5 linked regions of the Xenopus tropicalis genome follow. The protein of the gene in region 3 binds, or shares a complex with, the protein of the main gene of each other region. Links are inferred from orthologs where the notes say so. Each region holds a gene or a part of one and is shown on either strand. Other genes may lie near its edges.

Evidence for each region.
Region 1: polr3g (region 3) and polr3f share a complex: the UniProt entries of both Homo sapiens proteins name them as parts of the RNA polymerase III complex. The link is inferred for Xenopus tropicalis from reciprocal best matches to the Homo sapiens genes POLR3G and POLR3F.
Region 2: polr3g (region 3) and crcp share a complex: the UniProt entries of both Homo sapiens proteins name them as parts of the RNA polymerase III complex. The link is inferred for Xenopus tropicalis from reciprocal best matches to the Homo sapiens genes POLR3G and CRCP.
Region 4: polr3g (region 3) and polr3k share a complex: the UniProt entries of both Homo sapiens proteins name them as parts of the RNA polymerase III complex. The link is inferred for Xenopus tropicalis from reciprocal best matches to the Homo sapiens genes POLR3G and POLR3K.
Region 5: polr3g (region 3) and polr3d share a complex: the UniProt entries of both Homo sapiens proteins name them as parts of the RNA polymerase III complex. The link is inferred for Xenopus tropicalis from reciprocal best matches to the Homo sapiens genes POLR3G and POLR3D.

Annotation. Positions count from the first base shown.
Region 1 is NC_030681.2:38,387,677-38,391,818, reverse strand, and holds the start of polr3f (DNA-directed RNA polymerase III subunit RPC6), read right to left. Parts: upstream 2,803-4,142; 5' UTR 2,641-2,802; coding exon 2,585-2,640; intron 1,058-2,584; coding exon 940-1,057; intron 1-939. UniProt on the Homo sapiens protein: DNA-dependent RNA polymerase catalyzes the transcription of DNA into RNA using the four ribonucleoside triphosphates as substrates.
Region 2 is NC_030678.2:97,817,160-97,821,401, forward strand, and holds the start of crcp (DNA-directed RNA polymerase III subunit RPC9), read right to left. Parts: upstream 2,805-4,242; 5' UTR 2,743-2,804; coding exon 2,735-2,742; intron 2,711-2,734; exon of another isoform or gene 2,513-2,710; intron 260-2,512; coding exon 223-259; intron 1-222. UniProt on the Homo sapiens protein: DNA-dependent RNA polymerase catalyzes the transcription of DNA into RNA using the four ribonucleoside triphosphates as substrates.
Region 3 is NC_030677.2:178,954,526-178,958,600, forward strand, and holds the start of polr3g (DNA-directed RNA polymerase III subunit RPC7), read right to left. Parts: upstream 2,813-4,075; 5' UTR 2,630-2,812; intron 1-2,629. UniProt on the Homo sapiens protein: DNA-dependent RNA polymerase catalyzes the transcription of DNA into RNA using the four ribonucleoside triphosphates as substrates.
Region 4 is NC_030685.2:40,340,903-40,345,204, reverse strand, and holds the start of polr3k (DNA-directed RNA polymerase III subunit RPC10), read right to left. Parts: upstream 2,806-4,302; 5' UTR 2,772-2,805; coding exon 2,661-2,771; intron 1-2,660. Other genes in the region: snrnp25 (U11/U12 small nuclear ribonucleoprotein 25 kDa protein), read left to right, coding at 2,975-2,995. UniProt on the Homo sapiens protein: Core component of RNA polymerase III (Pol III) which synthesizes small non-coding RNAs using the four ribonucleoside triphosphates as substrates. Can mediate Pol I proofreading of the nascent RNA transcript.
Region 5 is NC_030679.2:129,697,210-129,700,240, reverse strand, and holds the end of polr3d (DNA-directed RNA polymerase III subunit RPC4), read right to left. Parts: intron 2,795-3,031; coding exon 2,642-2,794; intron 1,157-2,641; coding exon 1,034-1,156; 3' UTR 503-1,033; downstream 1-502. UniProt on the Homo sapiens protein: DNA-dependent RNA polymerase catalyzes the transcription of DNA into RNA using the four ribonucleoside triphosphates as substrates.

The sequences.
Region 1 (4,142 bases), on a different chromosome or scaffold from region 3:
TAGAGAATGCTGGGGGGAGCTAGAGAATGCTGGGGGGAGCTAGAGAATGCTGGGGGGAGCTAGAGAATGCTGGGGGGGAGCTGGAGCATGCTGGGGGGGAGCTGGAGCATGCTGGGGGGGAGCTGGAGGATGCTGGTGGGGGGAGCTGGAGGATGCTGGTGGGGGGAGCTGGAGGATGCTGGTGGGGGGAGCTGGAGGATGCTGGTGGGGGGAGCTGGAGGATGCTGGTGGGGGAGCTGGAGGATGCTGGTGGGGGGAGCTGGAGAATGCTGGTGGGGGGAGCTGGAGAATGCTGGTGGGGGGAGCTGGAGAATGCTGGGGGGGGAGCTGGAGAATGCTGGGGGGGGAGCTGGAGAATGCTGGGGTGGGCAGCTGCAGGATGCTGGGGAGTGTATGGGGATGCTGGGGAGTGTATTCCATACTTGATTATCAATAGGTATCAAAAGATATTTGTGCTGTTTCCATACAGGCAACGAGCAATCTTGTTGGTAAAAATTGTTGATAAAAAGAATATCCTAGAACTGCTCTCTGGTATTACATGTTCTGGCCTAAAGTCATTCTACTGAAATGGATTGTAAAAATGTTCAAACTTTTTAATGTTTAACCCTATATGGCATTTGTCACAGTAAAGAAGCCTTTGATTTATCTATTCTGCAGTGTATAACTATTGGGAACATACAGAGGGGCAACATCAAATATTTATGACATGCAAGGGGCTAAATTCAAAATGATAATGCAAGTAATATTAGGCAATAATAAAGTTAAAACGTTGTCACTACTGCCATTATTGTTTTTGTAGTTTTGGTGATTTACTTCTGTATTTCCTAGCTTGCAAAATGAACTGCCCCTCAGTATCTCAATCTAAACAAGGGGCCATATAGCCATAGTTTTAACATACATTATGTAAGACAAAAAGAAAACAAATATAAAAGAACTTACAGTTGCCAGCAGTCGGTTGATGCACATGGCCCTTTGTTTGGCTTCAATGTGAGGCATCTCATTTTGAATAACTTGGTCAGTGATACCATGAGGAAACTGCTGGCACAGCTCAATAACCCTAAATATATAGAAAAAAATACCATTAAAGAACTAGAAAAAGCTTAAGTGTAACTGTGTTAAGTGTTTATGAGACTGTTGACTTTCTCTAACATTTTATTTGTAATAATTTTGGCCCCTGATGTTAGTGGAAGGAATGCACAACACATGCAGAATATTTAGATCATGTCCAGTATGAAAGAACTGCTACCCCTTATGTGAGCCAACAACTGCAAGAAACAAACGGCTGGAACGGAGTATTATGTGACTAAAAATCACACTAACAACAAAGAGGATGTTTAAAGAACCGAAGCCATTGCTGCTTTTTTTTTTTTTGGACAGCTGTAATAACAGCCACCCTCCATTGGTAGACAGATGTTGGATGTTTTTTGGTACTACATGCTGTACTACATACACCAGAGGCAGTCTACAGGTCCGGACTAAGATTCAAAAGAGGAATTTCATGTACAAAGGCCCAAACAGCCCCCCACAGGTGCAATACATAGTGACGTTCTATGGCATCTTGCAGCAGCCACTCTGGCATTGGCCAGAATCCATAGACTGTCAGACCGGGCCTGGCATAAACACACTTGTTTTTTTTTTAATTCGGTGTAACTTTATCATAACCACATATTTTTATTGTCCCTTTTTACTATAAGACAGTCCTTAAAAGTTTCCTTTAAGGGGCAGTATATTTCTTTTTACCATGAGCTAAACAATAAATATAGTTTTTCCAAGTAATGTATGGCTTTTAGTTATTTCTTGCACTAAACAAAGACACTGACAGCTTAAATTTTCTAGTTTCCTGGTTCTGCCAAATCATCATTTGTGGTAAAACAAATCAACAGTATACAGATAAGCACTGGCTGCTCCTAATCACAAAGTCTAACAAAGGCTACATCTTAGGAGAGAGTGGATTTGCTTTATACACAGCTCATTATTCTCATTTAAACAATAGTGGGGAAAAACAAAACACTTTTATTTTAGTGCTTTATAACTACAAAACATTTGATAAATGTTAAAAATATGGATTTTTAAACTAAAATAAAAAAAGATTACATTCTCAACACAAGACTTATTTAGTATGCTGATGTTTAGCAAAAGTGTCTATAGGCATACACTGGCCTCTACAGTTTTAGGTTTCCTGCAGATAAAAACCCCACATCTTTTAGCAAATGTGTTCATGTCTCATCAGTCAGCCACAGTGTAGGTGTAGTCATGTCCTTTAGATAAGGTATAGCTGAGATTGCCATGAAGCTTTTCAAAATACTAGTAGGGTTCTAATGCCTGGTCTGGGACCACAGCTCTGAAGAAAGGCTGGATATAACCTGGGACAGACATTGAGCAAGTCAATGCGTGACAGCAAGTGACACAACTAATAAATAACTTTAGTTTTCTGCTATAACTGTAAGCATATGCTGCCAATATGATTATATTGATCAATGTGTCTTTCTAATGCAAGGGACTTTCATTTAAACCTTATGTAATTGAAAAAAGTAAACCAACATAGCCAAAACGCCAAAGACATACTCCGCTTTGCACCGCTTACCTGTTCTCTATCTCCGCTGCCTCCCCACCTTCTTGCTTCACCTTCGCTTCTGACATGTTTATTTGAGTCCCTATCCTTTGCCCACGTGTCCCCCTTAACGACTGTCGCCCCAACACCCCCAGTTCAGGTAGCACTAGCGCTGCAGCTCGATCAGCAGAAAGTATCGGCAGCCATTTTGCTTTCGGGCAAAAGGGAGCGTTTGGAACGGAACAACTTCCGAGCGGACAATATATTTTCAAATCAAAGGTACTACGTCTTTTAACTAAAGGACTTCGCGATTTACGTTGTCGCTAACCAAACATTTTCACGCTTTACAATTTCCAAATACAGCAAGTCGTCTGTGTAGCATTTGCTGCGGAAATACGTCATGCATAGGAGCATGCGCTTTGAGAGTGTGAAGAAATATGGGCGATGGTTTATTAGCGTCATCTTCGCATCTTTAGTTGCTAGGCAGCCAGACTTGACCAATGAAAAGGGCAGACACCGTCAGGAAGCAGGTTTTTACTACACCGCGTCTCTAGTAACGGGAGGTGGGACAAAGGCTGCGCCGGGGTCCACAGTGGGATATTTTATCAAGGTAAGTCAGGGTGCTATCAATTTAGACTAATGAAGAGTCTGTAGGTTACTGCTCGCCATAGATAGTGCTCTGCAGCTTGCGAACTTATGCTTTTCGAACTCAATGCTATGTGATTCGATGAAGCCCATTAACTTCTAGTTACATGTTTTTCAGTGGCTGAAATATTTTTATATTTTATACGTTTTTATAAAGCGGGACTGGTGTAGCATGTACAGTACATGTATGTAAGCTCATCTCATGCACCAGATTGTCTGGGAGAATTATAGCCTCAGAATCATTTTATGGCTGTTTGACTAATTAAAAGTTTTGCTAAGTACAAATGCTGACAGGACAAATACAATAAATCATTTAATCAATTTCTAATGTATTCATTTGAACTGCAGAAAGTTGGGTACAGTGGCCAACAAATGGTGACAATGTCCCTTAGTGCAATGTTTTTGGTCAAGAGACAGTAGCGTACCTTGAGTGGTCTGGCCCCACCCCCACAAAAAAAATATCTTCGGAGGGGCCCGGCATGCACGCTTAAGCTCAAATGAGAGCCAGCAAAGTGGACATTTAGAAGTGACTATGGATGGCAAACTACACACAGTGGACCTCATGGCCCAGCTTCCGCCCCCCATGGTCATGGGGTCTGCTGTATAGGTAGTTATGCCACTGTCAAGAGTATTTGGCCTTATTGAGTCAACTGCCCATGTACATGTAGGGACCCATAGGGTTAAATGGTCCCTATGGCTTTAAATCCCTACAGGTTCAGTTCCCTTAGTTGCTGGGCAGAAGGGAATGTATCTAAGTGAGTTCATTAACATGTGTGCTATTGGTCAGAAGGTATAGTGACCACATCCTGCCTGACTTTGGTATAGTGTTGGGAGAGGAGTGGCACCTTCCTGTTGTTTGCTTCCACCTTAGGGACAAAGTGGATGTGTGCTGAGAGCCCAGGGCATGGGCCCAGGCCCAGTGAAGTCGGGGAACAGGGCCCCGTGA
Region 2 (4,242 bases), on a different chromosome or scaffold from region 3:
AGCATATTACACATATAACAGTATAACAGTACACAATAGATCACTATATAACTGTCTACTGAATAATTTTACATAGCACATGCAAATGTTTGTTCTTAATTGTGCATTTTAAGCCATTTATAGCTTTTATTACATTTCCCCACAAGCACTGCAATTACAATGTGATAATAATGAATACACATAATCTACCACAAACATGTTTAAATATTCCGTTTTACCAACCTCATAATTGCTCAGGAGCGCTGCATTTGCATCTTTTCTAAAAAAAAAGGGAAGGAAAAGTAATTCACCATAAGGCAAAACAAATAAACAATTCTATATGTCATTTGTTTAATCAATCATTATGGCTGGATCATTTGTACAAGGCCAACAAATGCCTATAAAACTCTTATTTAGCAACAGAAAGGTATTGAGCTTGTTTGTGATTCATAGGTCCATTTTCATTCAACTCTGTGAGCACTGAATTTAACTAACCAATAAATGGACCTCAAGCAAATAATTGCTGAGATCAGAGTTTAACCAGACGATAGCACTAGCCACAGAAAGACCTTTGGGATACAGTTTCCTTAGGTTGGTTGCTGTGAGTTACTAGACCCAAAGTTAACGCTATTACATAGTTACCATAGGTAAGATTTTTTTGGCACATCATTTGTCCTTAATTTTCTAATAAGGCCCTCTTCTATTTACATGCCAGTCTGACTTCCTAACTGCTGCTTGGCTGGTAGGGTTATTGAATTATAGCAACAAAATAGTAGTTAAAATTCCAAATCTGAGACCTGCAGAATAAAAAAGTAAAATAATAAAAAAACATAAAAAGACAAAATGCAAACTGTCTTAGAATACTGCTAACTACATCACACTCGAAGTCAAGTTGAATGCTTAATAAAATGCCCACAAAAGACACTTTGTCAGCTTCTGCTTATTTGATCTACTCTGAAGGTCTCTCAAAATCAGGTGTCTGAAAGTGCATCTATTTAAAGGAGAAGAAAAGGTAAAAACTAAGTAAGCTTTATCAGAAAAGTATGTAAATACGGCCATAAGCACTTACAGAAAAGCTGCACCGAGTCCTCTATCAAAAAAACACATGATTTCTTGTCACCGTTTTTGTAAACATGTTCTTGGGTATCTGACTAACTCTCCTAGTCCTAGAACACTATATTTATTCTGCAGAAAGCTTTACTATACTTGAGTAAAGAGCCCTAGAATCTCCCTGCGATTGTTTAAGATTGCAGCTACCATTTTATCTTGGTCTTCCTAGATTAAGCTACCAGCCTCTAGAACTGCAGCAGGAAACTAGGAAGACCAAGCTAAAATGGTAGCTGCAATCTTAAACAATCGCATGGAGATTTTAGGGCTCTTTACTCAAGTAAATCTTTCTGCAGAATAAATATAGTGTTCTAGGTGGCCCTAATGTGACAAATATATTGGCAGTAAAATGCCAAAATAACTATCCTTCTCCTTTAAATGCTTGCTGAATACATCAGAACACATATGTTATGCATGTAAGTGCATAAAAATGCTGAATGCTGTCTGGAAAAATGCAGTCAAATGTGGCACTACTTAAACGCAGATATGAAGGCTTGTTGTTACAACCAGACAGAATAATGTGGAACCAATTAAGTCACAACCTAGGTACACTCTCTAAGCCAGTGATCCCCAAACAGTGGCTCGGGGGCAACATGTTGCTCACCAACCCCTTGGATGTTGCTCTCAGTGCCCCCAAACCAGGTAGTTATTTTTGAATTCCTGACTTGGGGGCAAGTTTTGATTCAATAAAAACAAGATTTCCTACCAAATAAAGCCCCCTGTAAGCTGATAGGGCGCATAGAGGCTGCCAAATAGCCAATCTTCACCCTTATTTGGCACCTCCATGAACTTTTATGGTGCTTGTGTTGCTCTCCAAGTCTTTTTACATTTGACTGTGGCTCACAAGTAAGAAAGGTGGGGGACCCCTGCTCTAAGCTGTGTCTCATACGCACATCAAAAGCATGAATAAAGGGAAGGTTCACCCAATACACAAAAACCCAATTGAATAAAGTATAAGGTCAGCTTTGTCTACTATCTTGCCTTCAACAACATACTGCATGTTATTAATTAGTACTTTTCTTATTGTGTTCTCTTCTCTCAGTTTGGGTGCTCAGAAAGCAAAGGGAGAGGTAGGGCTTCAATTCCCCAGAGAAAAAGAATCACATGACTGCACACTTCCATGAAAACAACAATAATCTGACATTGCACAAACCTGGCACTGCCCCCATAAGATTATGTAGGCGGCATCAGCCAGAAGCATGCAGGGGTCGGCAACCCTCTCTGCATGCAGGGGTTAGCTTGCATTTTTGTTAATATTGGAGGTTATGTTAGAGATATGTTTAGAAATGTGCAATCTTTACATAGACGGTAGTTTGTGCAAAGGTAAGCGTTTCTTTAAAAGAAAATGCTTATAAGCCCCCTGTAAATATCACCTGATATAAACCTTTACTCTGTTCCACTATATATGTAATTGTAAAGTACTTACTGTCAATCAGCAAAACACATAAAAACACACATCGAAACCACATACAGCTAAGCACGTATACAATCCGGAAGTTTTGGAATGATTTCTCAGGTAACACCATGCTGCTGCCTACCCAGCTTTCACTCGCACACGTTCATTAGCAGCTCGAAAGCAAATGGCAGAAAACTCTTAAATATTTCGAAGCGTTTTAAAACAGACACATTTATAAATAACATTTCTTACACTTCCATGCTGTTTTTCACGTTGGTCAATTAAAAGCCGAGCGAAAAGTCGAGCAGCTGATGATGTCACGCCACGTGACCCTTTCAGGAACCAAACGGAGGCTGCGGAACCGCTGAAACAGGAAGTGGAAGAGTTCACCCTCCTGAAACACGTGTAGGATTCAACTTCGTTTTTGCAAGCGTTATTTGTATTCAAGTGTATGATGCGTCCCTGAGTGCTTTGAACGTCCCAAACTAAGGCAGTCTCCCAGTAGAATGAAACCTCACCAGGCTGAATATAGATAGTAATGGTGTAGTTCTTCAACCACTTTTCCTACTTCTTTTTGTACCCAGTGTGATTTCTGAAAGAACAATAACATTTTTTTTCCAAACCAATTAATAATAACAATAGTTTCTCTAACAGAATCCTGCATTAAAATCCATTTTTCAAAAACACATTTATTTTTTTAATTTCATACAGGGCTAGGAATATTCTTAATTTCCCAGGGTGCCACAGCCATGTAACGTGCACTCTGGTAAACTTCATCCACATTTTACTGCTAAGCTACAAGCTTTGGTGATTTCAACCCCCTCAGCCGCACCTCACATTATTGCTAATTGAAAACTTTTCCCAATACCCCGCCGTGATGACTTGAAATATAGTCAGCACTGGCAATTTCTGACAGTCTCTCAGGAGACTGATGTGCTTGGTTAAAAGGCAGATGTTGGCTCGCTTGCCTGGTGTTGCGCTGGAGAAGGGTGCTTTGGTTACGGCGCGACGGGAAGGCGGCCCTTTGAAAGGGCTTCGTTAGCATATGGATTCCCACAATCCATTGCATCGGCTGGGCAGCCGTAGCCACACTTGAAAGAAGCCCGTCCCACAAGGGGCCCCTTAACTTAGGCAGGGGCCCAATCAGCTTTGCGCAGTGGCAGTATTATAGCCAATGAGGTCAAACCGAGGCGTGATTATTGCTAATTGAAAACTTTTCCCAATACCCCGCCGTGATGACTTGAAATATAGTCAGCACTGGCAATTTTTGACAGTCTCTCAGGAGACTGATGTGCTTGGTTAAAAGGCAGATGTTGGCTCGCTTGCCTGGTGTTGCGCTGGAGAAGGGTGCTTTGGTTACGGCGCGACGGGAAGGCGGCCCTTGGAAAGGGCTTTGTTAGCATATGGATTCCCACAATCCATTGCATCGGCTGGGCAGCCGTAGCCACACTTGAAAGAAGCCCGTCCCACAAGGGGCCCCTTAACTTAGGCAGGGGCCCAATCAGCTTTGCGCAGTGGCAGTATCATAGCCAATGAGGTCAAACTGAGGCGTGATTATTGCTAATTGAAAACTTTTCCCAATACCCCGCCGTGATGACTTGAAATATAGTCAGCACTGGCAATTTTTGACAGTCTCTCAGGAGACTGATGTGCTTGGTTAAAAGGCAGATGTTGGCTCGCTTGCCTGGTGTTGCGCTGGAGAAGGGTGCTTTGGTTACGGCGCGACGGGAAGGCGGCCCTTTGAAAGGGCTTCGTTAGCA
Region 3 (4,075 bases):
CCCCCCCTCCAAAAATGGTACGGTCCGACCCCCCCCGCTCTTAAAAATGGTACAGTCCGAACCCCCCCGCTCTTAAAAATGGTACGGTCCGACCCCCCCGCTCTTAAAAATGGTACGGTCCACCCCCCCCCACTCAAAAATGGTACAGTCCGAACCACCCCCGCTCTTAAAAATGGTACGGTCCATCCCCCTCACTCAAAAAATGGTACGGTCCGAACCCCCCCCCGCTCTTAAAAATGGTACGGTCATCCCCCCCCACTCAAAAAATGGTACGGTCCGAACCCCCCCCCGCTCTTAAAAATGGTACGGTCCATCCCCCCCCCACTCAAAAATGGTACGGTCCATCCCCCCCCCCACTCAAAAAATGGTACGGTCCGACCCCCCCCCCCCCGCTTTTAAAAATGGTACGGTCCACCCCCCCCCTCAAAAAATGGTACGGTCCGACCCCCCCGCTCTTAAAAATGGTACAGTCCGAACCCCCCCCCCCGCTCTTAAAAATGGTACGGTCCGACCCCCCCGCTCTTAAAAATGGTACGGTCCATCCCCCCCCCCACTCAAAAAATGGTACAGTCCGAACCCCCCCGCTCTTAAACATGGTACGGTCCGACCCCCCCCGCTCTTAAAAATGGTACGGTCCATCACCCCCCCGCTCTTAAAAATGGTACGGTCCGACCCCCCTCCCACTCAAAAAATGGTACAGTCCGAACCCCCCCCCCCACTCTTAAAAATGGTACGGTCCGACCCCCCACTCTTAAAAATGGTACGTTCATCCCCCCACTCGAAAAAAATGGTACGGACCGAAACCCCCCCCGCTCTTAAAAATGGTACGGTCCATCCCCCCCACTCAAAAAATGGTACGGTCCGACTCCCCCCCCCACCCAAAATAAAATGGTACGGTCCTATCCCCCCATAAAAATTGGTGCGGTCCGACCCCCGCTCTTAAAAATGGTACGGTCCGACTGGTACGTCCATCCCCCCCCACTCGAAAAAAATTGGTACGGTCCCCTCCCCCTCTAAAAATGGTATGGCCCGACTCCCCGCTCTAAAAAATGGTACGGTCCGACCCCCCCGCTCTTGAAAATGGTACGGTCCGTCCCCATCCCCTCTAAAAAATGGTACGGTCCTACCCCTCCAAAATAAAATGGTACGGTCCGACCTCCCCCGCTCTTAAAATTGGTATGGTCCGACCCCCCCTCCAAAAATGTCACGGTCCATCCCTCCCTCTCAAAAAAATGGTACGTCCAACCCCGCCCCCCTCCAAAAAATGGTACAGTCCGACCCCCATTCCAAAAAATTTTGGTTGGACCGTACCATTTTTTTGGAGGGGGGTCAGCCCGCACCATTTTATTTGAAGGGGGGGGTCGGACCGTACCATTTTTTTGGGGGGGAGATCGGACCGTACCATTTTTTTGGAGAGGGTGTCGGACCGTACCACTTTTTTCCGACGGGGGATCAGGCCGTACCATGCTATTTTTTTGAAGGGGGGATCAGACCGTACCATTTTTTGGAGGGGGGTTGGACCGTACCATTTGTTTCGAGGGGGGGGTTGGACCGTACCATTTTTTGGAGGGGGCGGACCGTACCATTTGATTTGAGGGGGGGTCAGACCGTACCATTTGATTTGATGGGTCGGCCGTACCATTTTTTTTGAGATGTTTCACCTCACTGTGTTAAGGCGCTATGACCCTATAAAAATTAGGTATGCCCAAATTGCAGCCCTCCAGCTTTTGTTCATCAACATAGCTTTCCCTTTAAAATTATATACTTTTTTTAGTGAAGCTCAGGTGTATTCTTACAACATTCTCATTAAAATAATTGATAGCAATGAATTACACCTGCTGGGGTTTGCACCAATTACAGCACACTAAGATGCCTACTTATTATGCTGTGCAAAAATGGCAGCAAAATTCGTCATTCATTGCGAGGCTTCGCTGTGTAAAAAACAATGTAATTACGTAGCTTGCATAGAATAATGGCATAAAGTCTGGCTTTCAGATGGTGACATTTGCCATTTTACTCAGCACACTAAATAGGCCCCCAGGTACAGCTGCTATAATCACCTGAAAGTCATCAGCTGACATTGAATGTTCTAGTTGAACAAAACTAGAAGGGCCACAGGCAACACTGTAAATGTAAAAACTAAGAATGTATATAAGAATATACATTTTTAATGATTGTTATTTGTACTTCTACAAAGGACATGATGAGGACTAGAAGCTCTCTATGTCCTGCCCTAAAGCATTCCCTGTCATGCCCCAACCACACCCAGCTAAGAGCACTAAGAGTTGCAGCTTCCAGCAGCTGAAGGACCCCAAGTTGAACAATAAAATATTAAAAGGCATTTATTTTCATAGGCCCACTTTAGGCAAACAAGCTTAACTCATTATTAAATAATACATTCAAAAACATTTCAACATTCAGCTTCAGTAGAAGTCAATAAATGCAAGCCCCAATATGCCAATCTGTGCCAATGCTGCTAAATATCATTGATCCAACTGTAACTGATTTTATAATGGCCTAAAATGTGCTTATATCTGTGCTTTAACACATCTTACATTTGGGTGTTTTCATAGATTAATAGAATTATAGACATGATATTAAATTCATATACTTAAGCGAATCATTTTACCTTCAGTCTGATATAATTTCTCGCTGATGAATCAAACATAGAACTCGGCTGATTCACCAAATCTGCGTTACAATGACATTCACAAGTAAATCCTGGTGCAGTAGGGATAAGCCAGTGGGGGCAGTGCTTGTCAGCAAGTCCTAACGAGCATCAGGCAGTGTAACTGATTCTAAACTAATTAGGTTCTGCTCAGCAGTAAAACTATATAGGGTAGAGCTTCCCTTTGTTAGTGTTCAGGCTTACTAAACACAACATGAAGCACAGCCCTTTCAGTGGAAAGGCGCTGTACATTGATCATTATGTGTTCTTAAAGGGGAACACAAAACTAATGTACTGGCAACTATCAGCAGTTAGCTCTAATCATGCATTACACAGCCACCATCAGTGAGGTGCAACTGCTGGAGCCCAGAAAATAAATATTATACAATATGTCTGTTCAGAGAAGATAAATTTGGCATTTGTCTAAATATCAAATGTTTTTCTTTTTATGCCACACTGTTTTTATTTTCTTTTAAAAAGTTGGAGTAAATTACTTTTTGCCAGTTTAACTACTAATCTTTCTAAATTTGACATAGTTGTCTTCGTCAAAATGCTGTCAAAGGGCATGTTCAGCTTTTGCAAAGTAGTGTAAATAGTAGCCTCTGGGAAGAGTCTGTGATATATTGAATATAGTAGGTAGGGAAGGGACTGTGGCTGTGGGATAGCAGGTATAGTAGGGGGAGATGGTACCTATAGTAGCAGTGGGGGGATAATAGCCTCTGGGAAGGGACTGTGGCTGTGGGATAGCAGGTATAGTAGGGGGAGATGGTACCTATAGTAGCAGTGGGGGGATAATAGCCTCTGGGAAGGGATTGTGGCGGTGGGATAGCAGGTATAGTAGGGAGAGATGGTGCCTATAGTAGCAGTGGGGGATAATAGCCTCTGGGAAGGGACTGTGGCTGTGGGATAGCAGGTATAGTAGGGAGAGATGGTGCCTATAGTAGCAGTGGGGGGATAATAGCCTCTGGGAAGGGACTGTGGCTGTGGGATAGCAGGTATAGTAGGGAGAGATGGTGCCTATAGTAGCAGTGGGGGATAATACCCTTTGGGAAGGGACTGTGGCTGTGGGATAGCAGGTATAGTAGGGAGAGATGGTGCCTATAGTAGCAGTGGGGGGATAATAGCCTCTGGGAAGGGACTGTGGCTGTGGGATAGCAGGTATAGTAGGGAGAGATGGTGCCTATAGTAGCAGGGGGATAATAGCCTCTGGGAAGGGACTGTGGCTGTGGGATAGCAGGTATAGTAGGGAGAGATGGTGCCTATAGTAGCAGTGGGGGGATAATAGCCTCTGGGAAGGGACTGTGCCTGTAGGATAGCAGGTATAGTAGGGAGAGATGGTGCCTATAGTAGCAGTGGGGGGATAATAGCCTCTGGGAAGGGACTGTGACTGTAGGATAGCAGGTATAG
Region 4 (4,302 bases), on a different chromosome or scaffold from region 3:
GCTTTATGTCGCAAGATCCAGGAGAGTTTGCGAGGGCCTGCATTGGACCTAATTAAGCTCCAACGAGAGGTGTGCCCACAAGATGGTCCTGAGAAGTTGATAGACGTACTGGAAGATACATATGGACCGGTGGAAGATGAAATTGAAATGTTGTACAAATTTCAGTCTTGCATGCAGAAAGAAAAAGAGAATCTGTCTGAGTACTTGAAGCGACTGCAGCAAATGCTAAAATTACTTGTTTGCCGAAGAATCATTGCTACAGATCGTGTTGATTCTATGAGGCTACAACAGTTATTCAGAGGGGCTTTATCTATGGACCCCACAGCTGTGATGTTGAGATCTTTCTACAGAGGAAAGAAAGAACCAACTTATCAGGAGCTGATCCGTGAGATCCGAAAGGAGGAAGTTAATGTTCTGCGACGAGAGAAGAAAAGACGTGGTTCTGAAAGGACATCCAGTGATTCGCAGAAAGCGGAAGAGATTGCCGAGTTAAAAAAACAGGTTGCTCAGCTCAAGGCTCGTGTGTCCGAAAAGGAAGAGGGGTCAACTATGTCTAGACCCTCTTCATTTCCTAAAGCAGGTGGTGCTCGCGGTGACCCACCAAAGTGCTTCCGTTGTGGCCGGTTGGGCCATATATCCCCACACTGTCCGACGCAACGTGAAAATGCTGCAGCTACAGAAGTTATTTCATATGGCTGTGCTGTGAGGAAGCCACCCCAAAAGAGGTATCGGAAGAGACGTAATCAGGTGAGGTGTTACACCTGTGGTTGGTACGGTCATACTTCCCACACCTGTGACTGGGGACGGAATGAAGACTTCACTGATGTATATGTGACATCTTTCCCATGTGAAGTGAATATTTGTGAAGAGAAATCCTGTGGCACGAGGATGGTCTCTGAGCACTCTGGCACCCCCAATAAAAGTAAGAGACTGGGCCTGGGAATGCGTAGACCTTCAGGCAGGGGAAGTGTCAGGGCAGTTAGTGAGGAAGCTTTCCCCTGTGTATCTCCCCCAAAGGTTAGGGAGAATAAGAATGGTGAGAAAGGGCAAGCGAGGACGTTGCCCATTCAAGCAGGGGGAGAATGTAGGGAGGTAGTGCTGGGTCCCTGCACTTACCCCCCTCCTGCTGCTGTTCCCTGTAGGGGAGCTGGCACTGAGACTTTGTGCTGTGAGCTGCTGCCTAGCAACAAGGTGAACAGCAAGCTCAGGGCTGCCGGAAGTTGCAAAGCAGCCTGGGAGAGGAAGTCAGTGGGAGGAGAGAAAAAGCCCCAGAACTCCAGAAGCTGCACGTGGGCTCAGAGAGAGGAGCAGCACAAGAAGAAGCTGGCCTTTGGAACAGGCTGGTACAGGGAAGGCAGACCCTGTACCTGGAGAGACAGAGATCCTGTGAGGAGTCCTGACTGGAGGAACAAACACCTGCAGGGGAATCCCATCTGAGTAGCTAAAGGGGCTAGTAGTCGCACTGCATGGCTGTGAGTGCTGGACTCGCCTGAAGATTCTGTGTGAATCACCCAAAGAGATTCCTGGAGTGAGTATCATTAAAGTGAAAGTAATAAAGGAGCGCTTGAAGATTTAAACTATATAAACTGTTTCTTTTGGGACTGAGCTAAAGGACTGTACATAGTTAGTGAGACAGCTTGCGCTGGCAAAGCTAGTTAGTAAGGCCCTTATTGCCACTTGGATAGGAGTGTTATCTGTATTAGTTTCCCCTTTATTTCAGATAAAAGTTATTTCGTTTATCAAGTACTGTGTGTGCATTATTATTGTTCCTAGTGGGGCCACCCGTAGGTGCACTCCAGGATCCCACTAGGTGGAGGCACTGCGCTAATAAGTACCAGGTACCCAGTCTCTCCCAATACCACTGCGGAGTGATTCAGGTTTGTCCCGTGCCATCAGGTAAGCGCCACTCGTGGAGTGTAACACTGTCAAAGGTGCCAGAAGTGGTGAAGATAGGGTTACAGTATTTCCCCTTAAAGTTTGTCAAATAAGTATCTAGCGGTCAGAACTCCCTATGTATTAATATATATTCAAATGTATTTATTTAGATATTATTTATGAAAGTGTTAGGACACATTTTATAATATATATTTATGATATTAGTGTGCTTTAGCAAGGTAATGCACTTCCACAGGGGAAGTGATTGTGCTGTGGTGTTCTGGGTATTGTGAATTTAGGGTTAAAAGTGTGCCCTTCTATGATGATTTGTTCCCAGAAGGGTAATAGCCAAAAAGGAAGAAAAGCAAGACCTTGGCCACAAACTAGCAAAAATCAGACAAAAAAAAAAATCACAGGTCATATGCGTATATTCAAATGTTCATTTTGGGGGGTGGGGGTAGCAGGTGTATCTATTTACTATGCATTTTATTTAGTATTTATCATAAAACATAAATGATAAGATCACCTTTTTAACTTTGTAAGTCTATTAAACTTACACAATTTAGAGCTAAAAGCCCCAGCCATTACCAGAATATGTTGTTAGCAATTTATACAGATTCATCCCGCACTTAAAAATCAGCGCATTGTACTGTTGCTAATGTAATGTTATCTGCCAATTAGCAATGCTTGGCATACACAAGGCATAAAAAGGCTTCGTAGCCACCAGGACTACACTTACGCCGCTTAAAACCATATTTCTATCACTTCAGAAGACCTCATTATACCTTGCGATTAACGTTGTGCACATAAGGGCAGGTATTACAGGCAAACCTGTAGCACTTCTGTCCCTCCTCCACGATCAGCACATTCCCACACGTCGGGCAAAATAGCAACATTGCTGCTAACAGATTAGCTCAAACTTCGCATCAACCACTTCATCCTCCAGACGCCAGTACCGCTGCCTAAGCAGAATGATCACCACGCGTTTGCCCTAGCCTCGCATTCACCTACATTACATCTTATTGCGCACGTTTCCGCCCGGTGATGACGTCTTTAATGGGCGCCCTAGAAATCTGCGACAGTTCCATTTGTAACTTGAATGAAACGGTGTGAACTAAAGGTGGGTAGTGGAAATTGCGTTGAAAAACTTAACTCGAAATTCTAAATTTCTACATTTAAGTCCAGCTCCCAAAAACTGATAACACGAGAAGAGCAATTTTTGCAAAGCAAAAGCAGAACTAGAAGTCTTGCAGCCATTTAAGTTGAAAAGGAGAAAAGGCACAGGTTTGGATATCATATAACATATATGCTCTGTAATAAAATGCAGTGGTGGTATATTCGTGTTAATCTGGTATCTGCTGTGTATCCTGTGCCTTTCTCCTTTTTTTATCTTGAAGTGCTTCCTCCATGGCTGCATAGAAGCTTGTTTATATAAACTATTTATATTCTTATTTATATACGGCTGATGCCGCATGGAAACCCGCATGCAGATAATCAGTCCCTCCGCTGACAGCCTCCTACCTTGCCTGCACCAGAAACTATTGGGCTGGCCTGGGTGCAGGCACACATGGCAGATATCAGCAAAGAAACTGTAAATTTAGCATTTTAGAGTGGATATTCATATTGTATGCTTGCACCTGGGCCAACGCAGTGGTTTGACCTGGAAAAGTAGGAGGCTGATGCCCAAGGAACTGATTCTTGGCCTGTGGTTTTTCATGTGCTGAGAATCAACCCCACATGGTATAAGCATTACAGTACTTATGTACGAAGCACTGTACAGCAGAGCATCTAATTGATAGAACCAGGGCCACCATCAGAAATCGCGTTCTTATAGTAAAACGGTGGTGTGTATTTCTTTTTCTCAGGCTTTGACCAGTCTCTCCTATATACAGTCCTCCTGTTCAGTATCTAGTGCACTGTATTAAGTACACCATATTGGAAGAAGAACAGTTGTACTGACCATGGATGTTGTATTCCTCTAATGTGTCTGAAATCTGAATTACAGATGTGTGGGCAGGTTTTGCATTGTTTTTTTGCCACAGGGATAAGTTCCTTTTTTGTTGGGTTGAATTAAGGCACTTCTTGTTATTAGTTGTTTTAGGTTTGGGGGCTGCCTGAATGCCAGAAGTGGTGGGTCTGGGAATATGTTTTGGAGCCTCTCATCCTTTTGAGGTGTACACTGTAGATCCTTGGCTATTTTTCTGAGGGTCTTTTGTTGGGGATCGTATGTGACAACTAGAGGAATTCAATTTATTTCTGTTTTTTGTTTGTATTGTAGAAGTTGACTTCTGGGAATCCTGGTGGCTGTATGGATATATTGATCCACAATCCTTGGGTTGTAGCCCCTGTTAATGAAATCTGCCATGAGTGTTCTTAGGTGGTGGTCCCTTTCAGTAGCATCAGAACATATTCGATTATATCGTAGAG
Region 5 (3,031 bases), on a different chromosome or scaffold from region 3:
AATTTCATCTGGAACATGACAGGTAAACAGCTGGCTTCAGGATGTTACACACAGGCTTTTGAGCCTGCGTTCTCCAGTGGTGGATCTTTCATGCATTTCATCACAGGGAATGCAGGGAAAAAATGCAGCTTTTTTTTTTCCAAATGGTGTTGTTGGGATCAAGTACAAGGCACTGTTTTATTATTACAGAGAAAAATGAAATCATTTTCAAAAATTAGAATTATTTGCTTATAATGGAGCCTATGGGAGACGGCCTTTCCGTAATTCTGAACTTTCTGGATAACGCGTTTCCAGATAATGGATCCCATACCTGTATACCTTATCTAATATGGCTTGTGCCCTGTAGTAATTTAGTACCAGTTAATAGCAGTGGCATGTATTCATAGACAAAAATTTATGACTGATAAGTAATGAAGTTTCCATTCATCCAGGTCATGATACTTTCTGCCCATTTCCTTCAGACTTAATTCTACTATATATAGGCATACATTTCATAAACTAATAGTGTTAACATAAAGTCTTATTTATTCCATCTTTGAAAGAAACAATATATACATATATTTAATTTAAATACATTTTCTTCAAAAGAAACAGACATTATATTATTCAATTGAAGCTTTCCAAACGTATGTCCATTGTTTATTTTTTCCCTACATACTCTTCCAGGTCCTCAAGGAAAAGATGCATTGCCAAGGCCTTGGAATCCCTATTTATACATCTTCGCACATTTAGTTTTGTGTATGCTGGCATGAGTTTGTGGCTGTAAATTCCACACTTTGGGCTGCCATGTTGCAGAGGGCTTGCCTGCAGGCTCTACCTTTCACTCCATACATCCTGCTGCAGAAAATGATCTTTAAGAATTCTACTGGGTCTAAAAGCAGTGATGTCACAGGACCAGAGAAGGCATTGCAACCACCATCTGATCATTCTGGAGCACAACCACTCAGAATGTCGTCTACTGAACATGAGTGTTGTTTAACAATCAGAGCAGACAATGTGACAGGCTATCGTATTAGAAAGGAAAGGGAAGTGTTTAGCCCTGTCTTTTTTCCAGCAGAGACTCAAAATCTGGGGAGCACACAAGTTTGTGTTGAATATGGCCCAGGACCATCATCTCCCCACCACGAGATTCACCAACACTGACTGACACCAGCTCCTAAAAAAGAGAAAAGTAGGGATCACAAATATTAGAATTAAACGTGAAACATACAAACATTTATACGCACCGTCTAGCCATCCTGAGGAAAAATTACCTTTCAACCTTACACAGGTTCATTTTTACGATATCCAACCAGTGCAAATCAGTTGCATATTGGGTAATTTGGCAACACAAACAGATGCTGACATTGCATTAAAGGATAAGTCAACCGTAATCTAAAACTTACAGTTCCTGTAGCCGTACAGTCAAAAACAATAAAAGAGATATACCTTCAGAAGTAAAATAGAGAATTATAAAAGTGTTCTGATGTTCCTCTCCCCAGGAAGACAATCAGAAGCCTTAGATGTCCTTTATCATTTACTTCCTGAGCAGAGCAACATCAGAACACTCCTTTTTCCTCAGAAGGTATATCTCTGTGACTATACAGTTACTAGAACGGACCAGCAGGTGGTGCTGTTACAAAATTCATTGCACTGGTGGATAATGAACACCTAAATAGCTTTGACTGAAAAAACAATGTAAATTGCTTACATGCAGTGCTTACATTTTTGTTTTTACATTTTTTTTTTAAGTTTACTTATCCTTTAAGCCAAGCCAATCACTTAAAGGGATTCGGTCGTTATTTTTATGGTATACTTTATATTTCTAAATTACACTGTTCACATAGCAAATATTTCACTCTGCCATTTGAAATGTTATTCTTGAACCAAAAATTTTTTTTAGCTGTAATATTAGTGTGCAGGCACCATCTGCATTGTGCCCGAGTCTGAGCTTTTACAAGGAGGCAGCGCTACATATTAGAACTGCTTTCAGGTAACCTATTGTTTCTCCTGCTCCCATGTAACTGGAGGAGTCCCAAGCCGGACTTGGATTTCTTACTATTGAGTGCTATTCTGATATCTCATGGGAGCTGCTATTTTGCTTCCTTCCCATTGTTCTGCTGATCGGCTGCTGTGTGGGAAAGGGGGAGGGGGGGCTATAACTCCAACTTGCAGAGCAACAGTAAAGTGTGACTGAAGTTTATCAGAGAACAAGTCACATGGCTGTAGCACCCTGGGAAATGTAGAATATGGGTAGCGCCATATGAAATTAAATATAAAAAAAAAATCTGTTTGCGTTTTTACAAAATGGATTTAATGCAGGATTCTGCAGGAAAAAGTTCTATTAAACTGGTGCATTTTGAAAAAACATGTTTTCCAAATACAGTATTCCTTTAAATTACTATGTTGAAGTGTGTCCAGTTTGCTGTGGTTTTCTGCAAATTATGGCTCTGTACTGTGCCTCCCTTCTATCTAGCAGCTAGAAAGAGGATCAGATTGACTGTGTGTCTACCTTATTACTGCTACAATTTATGCGGTTATCAGTTTGGCAAGCTGGTGAACAAAAGGCAAAATCGAAAACCACAAATAGTAGGTTCAACTGTTTACAAGTACCATGTTGTACAAATCCTTTGAAAAACTATCCCTATAAAAGTCTACTCACCTGCAAGAATGAACAGGATGTGCCCATAGTAACATCCAGCATGACTTTGCCCAGCTTAAGCTGAACCTTGCCAGACTTGCGTACAAATAGCTTCCCAATATGGCCTTCTGACACATCCCGCAAGGTACAGCTGTCTTCTGCAGCCTTCGAGTCCTACAAGTAATTGAGAGGCAAGATTTAGAACTACTACCCGCTAACACCAGTGCATAAAAAAAGAATGTTTTGTTAACTGGAGTCCCCAGTGCAGACCTGAAAGTTTAGTGTTTGAACTGATGGAAGCAGAGGTGTGTCACTACAAGTTAAACATAAAGTACCTGTGCTGTGGAATATCGTGGTGCTATATAATGCATAATAATAGCCGAGATCAGGGGCGGGCCGAGCCGACCGGGC